Rattus norvegicus: one gene and its partners. The main gene of each other region encodes a partner of the protein of the gene in region 3 in a complex. Links are inferred from orthologs where the notes say so. Each region holds a gene or a part of one and is shown on either strand. Other genes may lie near its edges. The genes, in order: Drc7, Drc12 and Iqcd.

Region 1 (3,648 bases), on a different chromosome or scaffold from region 3:
CTCAATCTGGGCGACCCACGAAGGCGGCATGTCAAAGCTCTTATCCTCCTCCTCTTTGCCCTGTGAGGAAAAGAGGTGGTTGCTGGCCAGGGATTTAGAGCAGAGGCCATGGTGCAGCTCTGTCCCCTACCCGAGACTCAGACTTGCTGAGGGGGCTGTCAGTTTCCCCCAGAAAAGCAAGAAGTCAGAAGATGATCCAGGATAGGGGAGGAGAGGGGTAGGTTTGGGTGGACTTGCCTAGTCCCTACTTGCCTGGTCTAAGATGATAGGCATCTGTTCTCAAATCCCACCCTTCCAGCCAAACCACTTGTGGCCATGACGGCTACTCAGAGAGGGGATCCTGAGTCAGAGGGAGCCAAACCTTTGGCTAGACCTAGTACCAGGTAAGGAGGGCTGGGTAAGCTTTTCATCCACTCTAAACCTAGGTTTCCTTAGCTGTTAACTAGGCCTCTTGGGAGGACTAATGGATGTTATAAGTCTTGGCTGTTCTTCCAAGGTCTGTGAAATAGGCCTGGTCTAGACAAGTGATCCTCAAACCAAGCTCAAGATTTTCTGTGTGTATTCTTTTTGCCATAGACAATGCTCAGACCTTGGACGCGTGCTCATCTAATTGTGACTTCTTTTGAGATCACACAAGGTCATCTCAGTCAGCAGAGGACATAGGGACTTTTCTGAGACAACCCTGGAATCCCAGGCCTGGCCCTACAGCTGAGAGCTGGCGCTCAGGCTGTATCATCTATCCATGTTGGAGGGACCAGGATTCTCATTCCAGGGGTGTGACAGGGCTTCCAGAAGGAGCAGGCTCCTAGGTTGAAGGGTACACACTGCTGGTCTATGCCCCGCAGCAAACGGGGACACCAGTGTTCAGAATCGAGGAGAGGGAGGACAAGGTGGCCTCAGTCATTCTTAGGCAGCCTTCTGAGCTGAACAGTCACCACGAAGAGCCCAGATAGGCAACCAGACTGTTGGGGTTTGGCTCCCAGATCTCTCACTTATTGGGTGGGTCCTTCAGTGTCTCATTTGGCCCTGCTGTGTATATGTTGTCCTTGGCTACTCAGGAGGCAGAGATTTACATGAGAGAACTCAGATTCCGCACTAGAAACAGAACCTGTCCCCGCAGTGTTGCCTGTTGATATGGGTTTGCTCAACCTACCTCTAAAATCATGTGCTAAAGCCCTCACCCCCAGTACCTATGAATCCAGTTGCATTTGGAAGTCAGGTCTTTATGGGTAAGGTCATGGAGTCTAAATTGGGTCTTTAGGTGATCCTATTACAATATGCAAAGTGTCCTTATGAGACAAAGGAATTAGGACACAGATTCATAGAGAGGGGGGCCAGATAAAACTACGGTGTTCATGGCCATCAGCAAACCCAGGGGATCTCTGAAGAAACCAGCCCTGCTAGCACCTTTGATCCTGAATTTCTAGCCTCCGGGAGTGTGGGGCTTCCCTTATGGCGATGCCAGCAGATACATGTGTTATTGTTGCTATGGATACCAAACACAGACCATGACCCTCACCCTAGTTTTACATGTAAAGAAGGCATGGGAGATTCCCAAAGCAAGGGGAATTTGCCTCCTAGTCTCTCCTTTCTCACACAGGACCCCATGCATGAAGTACCCCACCCCACACACACCCCTTGTTGAAAGATGACAGACAGAAGGCTGATGACGGGATACCCAGGCCAGGGGTCTTTAGAAGACCTAATAGGATCAGAAGGAAAGGCCTAGCTTGATAGAACAATCATCATGGTGGTTAAAGAGGAGCTAGGGCTCCCACTCCAAGAGATGGTCTCTCTAAGGAACTGTCCAAACCTTTGATCAGAGTTCCAGACGGGAGAGACTGAATTCAAGTACTGTCCCTCCCCTAACCTCCTGAGAGGTTCTGGGATGCTCACCGCATCTGTAAAATGAGAGCTCTACAGACCCCTCTGCGTTGAAGAGTGTATGACTGATAGGTTTGGACACCCCCCATACACGCACATGTTTTCAGGGATGTCTGTCAGGCTGCCTGACCCAAAATGGAGTGAGGACCCTCGACCCGCCCCCATGCTACCAGACTCACCTGATCTTCGTCCTCATCGTCATCCAGCCCTTCGTCGTCATCATCAGTCAAGGACAGGTGAGGCTTATCGGTCCCCAAGAGCATGTACTCCCATCTCACAGGGTCTCCCAGGTCAAAGATCAAGTCCTGATGGAGGGGGAACCAACTGAGTGTACCCCCTGCACCCTGTAACTATGCCTGCTCCTAAGGGGCAATGGCTATTACTTGAGGCTCTGCAGAATGTCAGCTCCATCCAGTCTCTAAGAGTCCAGCCACATTCTCCATCTCATCAGGGGAACTGAGGCCCCCACTCCCATCCCATCATCCCAAGGAAGAAATCCTATAGCATGTCCAGAAGAGACTCATCAGTGCCCCCTGCTGGGGACAGCCTGTACATGAAGACATTGTAGGTCACTAAGGGAGGGAAGAACCAGGAACCACGTGGCTACAGGAGATCTCAGAAGGAACCAGCCCTGCCAGGATCTCGGTCCTGGATTTCCAATCTCTGGAACTGTAAATCAAAGAATTTTCATTCTTTAAGTTCCTATCCTGGGCTGGAGAGATGGCTCAGTGGTTAAGAGCACTGACTGCTCTTCCAGAGGTCCTGAGTTCAAACCCCAGCAACCACATGGTGGCTCATGACCATCTGTAATGGGATCTGATGCCCTCTTCTGGTGTGTAAAGAAAAAAAAAACCGCACAGAACAAACTGGGGAAGGTCATATAGCTAGAATGGCCCTTGAGAGCCGGGGGTGCGGCTTTTGGCATCTCTACCATACGTAACCCTGCTATGGGGGGGGTGTGGCCAGACCACCCACGGGCCACATCCTTGGTCTCCACCCCCCAACTCCCGCACACCTTACAGCAGTTCCAGCAGTCCTGCATATTGATCCAGTAGTTCTTGTGGTTCCAGAGACTCTCGATGCCCAGGAAGTGGTCATCCTTGGTGCCGTAGCTGCGCCCGGTAAAAGGGTCGATGAAGAAGCTCTCAGGCACCTCGCGCTTTCCCGACAGCACCAGAACCCAGGAGTGCACCCGCAGGCCATGCAGGGGGTCAGGCTTCGCTTTCTCTGCTTCCTACACAGGGAAGTTGGGTGGTTCGCTCTTTAGGGCACCCTGGGTGAGATTTCATCCAAAGAAATGCAATGCGTTCTACGGATAAGGGGTGCTTTGGTGAATCTTAAGAGAAGGTCCTCATATGTTATCCATTGGGCCCACGTAACCAGCTATGGCAGGGTTGCATGCCCGTGGAGACCCACCAGGAGGCGTTCTTCCTCTTCCTTAAGCCGCTTCAGTTCTTGGTCCTTTATCGCCTGTAGTCTCTTCTCCTCTTGCTCCTGCTCAAACCTGCTGGTCAGGTCCCGGGGCGGCTTGACGGCATATTTCTTAGGCGCTACCTTCTCTTTCTTCGCGACTATCTGTCACCCAAGAAGAGCGGGAAGTCGAACTTCCACCTGCACTCTACACAGGCTTAATGGGACAGACGAGGGCTAGCACGAGAATATTTAAGCACGCACACAAACTCAAATAAGCTTGCACGAATGCAAGTGCAGCCCAGTTGACCTGGATCCCAGACAGAGGGTGGGGCAGGTAGTCTGGGGTAAGAG
Region 2 (3,748 bases), on a different chromosome or scaffold from region 3:
ACTTCCTCCTCCAGCCGCTTGCTTCGGGTCCCCAGCTCCTTTTGCAGGGCTTGACGCTGGCGGCTCATCTCTGAGGTAGGAGCCGTAGGCAGCAGGAACCAAGGTAGGGATGGAGGCATGAAGAAAGGAAACAAAGTTACATGTCTCAGTGGAGTCTCGGTGGAGGAACAGAACCAAGAAACTCGGGAGACCTTGAAAATTTGGGGGATAAGAAACAAGACCCTTTCCCCCATATTTAGGGGGGATTCTGGCAATTCCTCCTACTTACTCCCAAAGATGAAGAAGATAAGGGCTGTGACTATATTTTGTATCACGCAAACACTAAGCACGGCGCATTAGACACTCTAGAATGTGGGAATCCACCTTCTACCAGGGATCTATCTTTGATTCTCAGGACACTGCCTACGCACGGAAGTATAGCAGTTGGAATTCCTCTTCATTTCCCGTCCTTGGATTCCCTGACCCTCTTGCTTGTCCTCCTCCAGGCCCATTTCCTGCCTACCTGATCAAACATACCTGCATATACAGCCCGCCCTTCACTTTGGGTTCTTTCCAGTTCAGCTTCCAGCCCTTGTAACCTCTGTTTCAGCCTGTCTTCGGAAGCCTTGGCTCGGCAAGCCTCTTCCCTCTGTAGAGCTGTGAATAATCTCAGAGCCATGCTCAGGTCTGGCTGAGGATGCCATGGACTCAGTCACCACAGCCTTGAACTATGTGTCTCTCTGGGAACTTGACAGGTGTCAACCTCTTATTCCGTGTCTCTCCCCCCATCCCCCTTTGAAACCCATAAAGTTTCTATTCCTACAGAGTCAATAGTCACTCCCTGTTCTGGTTACTAAAAAACAATGGCTTGCTTCCCTGAGCTGCAGGTTAGCTTCATGGTAGACTACTTAGCTCTCACGAATGGGGTTGTGATTACATTCCCAGAGTCAGGGGAGAAGAACAGCTTCTTCATCACCTTCACTGCCTACCCTTTCTTCACGATCTTTGCCAACAGAGAATGGCTGGCTTGGTTTAGCACCCCCTGGACATAGTTTAAACTGCCAGTTCTCCAAGAACCCAGAAATGCCCCATGTGCCATGGGCTGCGTGAATAGTTCTGTGTCAACTTGACACAAGCTAGAGTCATCAGAGAGGAGGGAGGAGAATGCTTCTCTAAGACCTGGCTGTAGACAAGCCTATGGGGTATTGTCTTAATGAGTGATCGATGGGGAGGGTCCAGCCCACTATGGGTGGTGCTGCCCCTGGGCTGGTGGTCCCGGGTTCTATAAGAAAGCAGGCTGAGCAAACCACGGGGAGCAAGCCAGTGAGCAGCATCCCTCCATGGCCTCTGCATCAGCTCCTGCCTCCAGGTTCCTGCCCTGTTTGGGTTCCTGGCCTGACTTCCTTCAATAATAAACTGCTTTGGAAGCACAAGCCAGATAAACCATCTCCTTCCCAAGTTGCTTTGGTCGTGATGTTTCCTCACAGCAGGAGGATAACCCTGATTAGGACATCATCTCTGCTGTCTCCTGAGGCTCCACTCTTCTTACCTAAGTGGTCCTGAAGCAGCTCCTTCTCTAGCAGCACCAGCCTGTGCTTGGCCTCAGCCTCCACACCTGTCATGGCAAGACCACAAAGTCTTAGGCTATCTTGATCTCGATCCTGCTCCGTCTTCCATGCTTCTTGCAGGATGGAGGAAAAATCACTGAGGGAGGGATACTCAATGGCAAAAATCGGACAAATTCACTGCTTCACTGCCTTGTACTTGGTGGGTGCTCAAAAGAAAACTGTGACAAAGGCAAAGAGCTAGATGGGGCTCCAGGGGGATTGAAGTATTCTCCGGTTCCCCAGCCTGGTGGAACCTGGACTCAAGGCTCTGAAGAGGAGGGCAAGAAAGCTTCACTTGAGCTGGAGAGATGGCTCAGCGGTTAAGAGCACTGACTGCTCTTCCAGAGGTCCTGAGTTCAATCCCCAGCAACCACATGGTGGCTCACAACCATCTGAAATGAGATCCGATGCCCTCTTCCGGTGTGTCTGAAGTCAGCTACAGTGTGCTCATATACATAAAATAAATAAATATTTTTTTTTTGGTTCTTTTTTTCGGAGCTGGGGACCGAACCCAGGGCCTTGTGCTTCCTAGGCAAGCGCTCTACCACTGAGCTAAATCCCCAACCCATAAATATTTTTTTAAAAGAAGGCTTCACTTTAGCCAACTGTGGTGGCAGTGCCTAGTGCCAGGCACTGGGAGCACCAGACAATCCCAGCACTAGGAAGACTAGGAGGATATGTTTGAGGCTTGCCTGGGTTCCATCGTGACCCTGTATCAAAAGAACAAAAGACAAAACCAAAAGAAACCCACTCCATTTTGTTGCCCGATGGGCTGGATTCCCTCTGAGGACCTTTGTGTGGACTGTGGACAAGGACACACAGGGACACTGCCCTTTACCCACTGTGACTCACCAGGACTTGAATTCTTTTTCTTCTTCCGTGTGGCAGCTTTTCTCCCCTTTCCTTTGGTTTTAGGTGGCATCCTGCTGTCCTGGCGAAGGGAAGACCTTCTATGTGGATCAGCAGACAGACATGCTTTCCTGACTCTTAGACCAAGCTGGGAGTCTCTGGAGCTTCAGAATTCTAGTCTTCCAGTGTATCTTACACTTTCTAGAAGCTTTGCTTCTTGGTCTCCTGGGACCCTTGGGGAGGGATGGAGTCAGTGAGGGAGAATAATTCTATGTGCAGCAGTTAGCCTCTTGAGAAACTTCTGGACCTGGTCCCTTCTCTCTCCCCAAAGTATGCCTTCTCCCCCCTCCTATCTACCTGCAAGACTCTCTCTTGCTTGTGTGGTGTCTCCCTGGGGAATGCCATGGGGACAGTAAAGAGAGATCCAAGCAGATTGAGCCTAGGGAGGAGCCCGGGTCCTGGGAGCCAATCCAGGGTGTAAAACTTCCTCAAGAGGCAGGACCAAGAACTGGGATGTTGGGTTTCTGGAGACTGCAGGTTGTCCGGGCAACTGGGAAACAGGCAGGTGGTGAGCTAAACCAAAGGGAAGCTTCTCTTCTCACGTCCATGTCCCAGCCCTAAAGAAAAGCTTTGGAGTTGAATGGCTATTTTTCATGTCTACACTGCCTGAGACTCTCTAGGCTAGGAATCTAGAAATTTAGTCTTGGAGAACAGTGTTTTACAGACATAGCAGAAAGGCAGGGACAGTAGCCATGATGGCTACTTTATATCTGGAGTTCTCGAGAATACAGTGATGTTATTTACTTTGAAAACGAAGGTTCATGCTTCAAAAGGCTACTGTGATATGTGAGGGAAACACTTTCTGGCACAGGTGTTGAAAGTTTTCCACTTACAAGATGTGGAGCCATGGACTTCAGGATGTTGACCCACCCAGAGAGAGGAGCACACATTAGGCAGAGTCCATGAGTTCAGCTACTTAATTTTGCTCAGCTTGAATTTCTTTTTTTTTTTTTTTTTTTTTTGGTTCTTTTTTTCGGAGCTGGGGACCGAACCCAGGGCCTTGCGCTTCCTAGGTAAGCGCTCTACCACTGAGCTAAATCCCCAGCCCCTCAGCTTGAATTTCTTGGTGTATACGTTTTGTAGCTCCTGACTTCGGTGGTGTGTTTGCAGGACCTTTTTTCTCTCCCAGTCAATCTTGCCTCCTCCCCCTATTTCTTTATGAGGTTTAATCTGCAGCCCCCAGGCACCCTGCAGCATAAAGTTGGTTAGGGCTCCCTCTAGTGGACCTGCTTGACCTTCTGCATCCCCTATTT
Region 3 (3,748 bases):
TATACATATGCACATACATGCACATGCACACGTGATACACATACACATATGATTACATGACTACAAATACACATGCATACACAATACACATACATACATAATACACATCTGTATACATACATACGCTACACACACACAGGCAGATGCATACACAAATATCATCACACAAATACACACAAGCAAGCAGGCACACACACACAACACACATGCACACACATCCATGTGCACACATACATGCATAACACATACACACGTGCACACACATACACATGCTAAATAAATGAAACTGAATTTAAAATGCAGGTTAGAGAGACGGCTCGGTGGGTAAAATGCTTGCTGCTTACGCATGTCTGCTGCTTGAATCAGAAGTTCCTTCACACCCGTGTAAAAGCCAGGTGACACACAGAATAAAAATAAATCCTTCATCTTTAAAGAAACATTAATTACCAGAGTGTAAGATATCAATATAATTAACGCGTGTAGGAAGCACAGAATTTGTATTTGCCTGGCATTTTGGTGCTGGGGATTAAATTTAAGGCCTCACATGTGAGACACACTCAATGCCATCTGACTGCAGTTTGAGCCCACGTTATTCTTTCAATAATTAAACCTGTACTGAGACTAGAAGGAAAACACATTTCCTTGTCCATTAAAAGATGAAAAGTCTCCTGCACTTGGAAGCATTAGAGTTAAAATATTTTTGTTGGCTACAGGATCTAACCTGTTGCTATAACGAAACCTGAAGTTCAGAGATATTTTCCTCTGATGCTGTTTCAAATGTTCTTGAATTTTAATCACGTTTGATTCCAAGAACACCCGCTAGGGGCTCAAAGAAAAAGTGTGCATGTGCCTGTGTGTGTGTGTATATCTATATGAGTGCAGGTGTCTTTGGGGCCAGAAGAGGGCGCTGGATCACCTGGGAGTCAAATTACCCACTTTATGTGGGCACTGGGAACTAAGGGTCTTCTGAAGAGCAGTCTGTGCTCTTATTGTCTAAGCCATCTCTCCAGCCTCCACTGACCACCCTAAGCACTCAATAAACCCCTGTTAAATGTGTGAATGATTCACTGTGCGAGCCAAGAGAATGTCCTAGGAAATGTTTAGACAGAGAGAGTTAGGGAAGAATGAGTCACTGCAGGGATCACTGCAATTAGCTGAGCAGTCATCCTGTGCCTGTGCCCATTCCCACCCTTCTTTGCCTCGTCTCATTCAATCTTCCCAAGAAATTCTTCTTTGTCTTCAGGATGCACAAGGAAACCACATTTTAAGGATATGAGTGAAAATGTAACGTTAACCTCAAAGCAAAATCCTGTGTATCCAGAAAATAACCAGGCTGGAAAGATGTCTCTGTGTTTAATAGTACTGGCTGTTCTTGCAGAGGATCTAGGCTCTGTTCCTAGCATATACATACCAGCCCAGAACTCCAGGTCCAGCGGATCCAGTGCCCACATCTGGCCTCCTCAGTCACAGCACACACACACATTGTGCACATACACTGCACACACATACATGTAGGCACCCACAGATACATAGAAAGTAAAAATAAATGAATCTTTAAGTTATTTTAAAGAGTGTGTATGGCTCTTTCAGAGGACCAGAGTTTAGTTCCCTGAACCTAAGTTGGGCAGCTCATAACTCCCTGCTAGTAATTAATTTCAGCTCCGGGCTCTAGAGGGTACAAAACACTTTTTCTGTGTTCACATTCACACACCCCACCAACGCAAGCATAGTGATCAAAATAATAATAATAATGAAAACCTTTAAAAACAATTAAAGAAAAAACTAATTAACTAGGGGTGGTGGCATATGCCTTTAATCCCAGTACTCGAAGGCAAAGATTGGTGGATCTCTGTGAGTCTGAGGCTAGCCTGGTCAACAGAGTGAGTTCGAGGCTTCATAGTGAAACCCTGTTTCAAAACCAAAACAAACAACAAACCCTTATTTTTAAGAATACACTGAAAGGGACCGTGCACCTCCGAACATAGTGGCGACAGTGGGCGCCAAACAAAACAACCCATCCCATTACTTGAACTAAATTCACTCTATGTCTTCATAAATGGTACCACTGAGGGATGAGGAGCGGAGCGATGAAATGAGGACCAGGAGACAGGACAAGAGGATGCGCGGTGGTCTTTGCAGCAGGCCTAGAGGAGGCCTGGATGGAGCTAGGGCAGGGGAGTGAGGCCCCGGAGCTGGATGGGATGGCAGTGGGGTGGGAACCCCTGGGGGTGTCACTGAACGGTGTGCTCGCTAGGTGCACACAGCCTGCAGCCCCGGGCTTTCCCACTGTCACTCACCTGCTCCACGAGCTGCAAGTTTCTCTGCCCACAGTTTCTCTGCCCACAGTTAACCAAGTCGGCGGCCCCTGTGTTGCTAGGTTACGAGCCACTCCTAGAAGGCGGGACTTTGCATTTAACTGACCTCCTTTTTCCCCATTCAACTTCTAGTCAGATTGAGTTGGCTCCGCCTTCTTAAAGATGGCCAATCAAAATCACCGCCTCCCTGACGTTTCGCCAATGGAAAGACCCGGGATTCCTGTTGGTTGAGTGAGTGAGGCGGGGGAAAAATGGGTGGTGCTTCCTCGCTCTGTCCTCCCTCCGGGAGGAGGCCTGTGAGAACAGTGAGTGACATGTAGTTTACCCTGTCAAATTTCATTGCGACCTCTCGGATGGCCAATAGGCCGTGGCGTAGGGCCGTGGGCGGGGCTTGCGAGGCTGAGTGACAGGAGTCGGCGGATGCGAGGGCTGGCGCAGCTGCCGCTGTGGCAGCGGTGAGGCGGCGGTGGCGGCTGCTGAGGCTCCGCTGTGGGGATATTGGCGGCAGCAGCTGCGGGCTGAGCTGCGCTGTGCAGACCCGGTGCACGGTGCGGGATCCGGGACGGCGCGTGTAAGAATCCGAGGGGTGCGCGATCTTGGCCGGAGGACAGGGGTCAGGGGTCAGAGGGTGCAGAGAAGGGGCTGGACTGGGACTGGGTGCTCCCGAAGCCCGAGGCGGGGCCTTGGGAGGTGGCCCGCGTGCTTCTCTCCCTGAAGATCCCCTTCTCTTTGCACGCCTTTTATTTGGCCTGACTTTCTGGACCCGGACTGCAACGGGGATCATGGGGAGCTGGAGCCTCTGGGTGACCCTTCCTCCCCGCCTTCCCTCCCCTCACTTCCCGGGGCTGTGTCCTCTTGTGACCCGGCCGGGGACTCCTGCCCCGGTCAGTCTGCCCCAGAGGACAAACCGAAGGATTGCAGTTAGCCATCTGATCCTCGGACTTTCTTCCAGGGGTGACCTTACCCTGTGGGTGACTCTCTGGTTCCTCTCTAGAGTGAGAACCGAGGTTTGCCAAAGGGCAGGACCTGAGGAGCTCTGAGTCTGTGTCTGAGCCTGCTGTGTAACCTTGGACAGTTTCCTTCTCCTCTCTGGGCCCGTTTCTTTCTCTTTGAAAAGTCATAGGTTCCTTGGGAGGCAGAGGCAGGAGGATGGCAACTTCGAGGCTATACAGGGCTCGACAGGGATATCCCTGTCTCAAAAGATAAACAAGAAAGTGGTTGGTGGATTTCACTTAAGTGGAGTGCCGTTTCTAGGAATAGTTGTGGGACCGCGCTGAAATGCGGGGGGGGGGGGGGGGGGGGGAGGAAGTACCACCCGCGTTCCATGACTACTTGTGTCTGTTTACTCGTGAGAGGCGAGTTAGCCAAGCTAGTCGGCCTCATCTATAAAGTGGGCGCTCGCTAACCCAGGCTCTACGGAGGGCAGAGTCGGA

The links.
Region 1: Iqcd (region 3) and Drc7 share a complex: the UniProt entries of both Homo sapiens proteins name them as parts of the nexin-dynein regulatory complex. The link is inferred for Rattus norvegicus from reciprocal best matches to the Homo sapiens genes DRC10 and DRC7.
Region 2: Iqcd (region 3) and Drc12 share a complex: the UniProt entries of both Homo sapiens proteins name them as parts of the nexin-dynein regulatory complex. The link is inferred for Rattus norvegicus from reciprocal best matches to the Homo sapiens genes DRC10 and DRC12.

The regions. Positions count from the first base shown.
Region 1 is NC_086037.1:9,957,186-9,960,833, forward strand, and holds part of Drc7 (dynein regulatory complex subunit 7), read right to left. Parts: intron 3,460-3,648; coding exon 3,301-3,459; intron 3,119-3,300; coding exon 2,900-3,118; intron 2,190-2,899; coding exon 2,064-2,189; intron 61-2,063; coding exon 1-60. UniProt on the Homo sapiens protein: Component of the nexin-dynein regulatory complex (N-DRC) a key regulator of ciliary/flagellar motility which maintains the alignment and integrity of the distal axoneme and regulates microtubule sliding in motile axonemes.
Region 2 is NC_086026.1:53,473,734-53,477,481, reverse strand, and holds the start of Drc12 (coiled-coil domain-containing protein 153), read right to left. Parts: upstream 2,824-3,748; 5' UTR 2,509-2,823; coding exon 2,439-2,508; intron 1,595-2,438; coding exon 1,529-1,594; intron 637-1,528; coding exon 517-636; intron 71-516; coding exon 1-70. UniProt on the Homo sapiens protein: Component of the nexin-dynein regulatory complex (N-DRC), a key regulator of ciliary/flagellar motility which maintains the alignment and integrity of the distal axoneme and regulates microtubule sliding in motile axonemes.
Region 3 is NC_086030.1:41,630,673-41,634,420, forward strand, and holds the start of Iqcd (dynein regulatory complex protein 10), read right to left. Parts: upstream 2,334-3,748; 5' UTR 2,298-2,333; intron 1-2,297. UniProt on the Homo sapiens protein: Component of the nexin-dynein regulatory complex (N-DRC), a key regulator of ciliary/flagellar motility which maintains the alignment and integrity of the distal axoneme and regulates microtubule sliding in motile axonemes.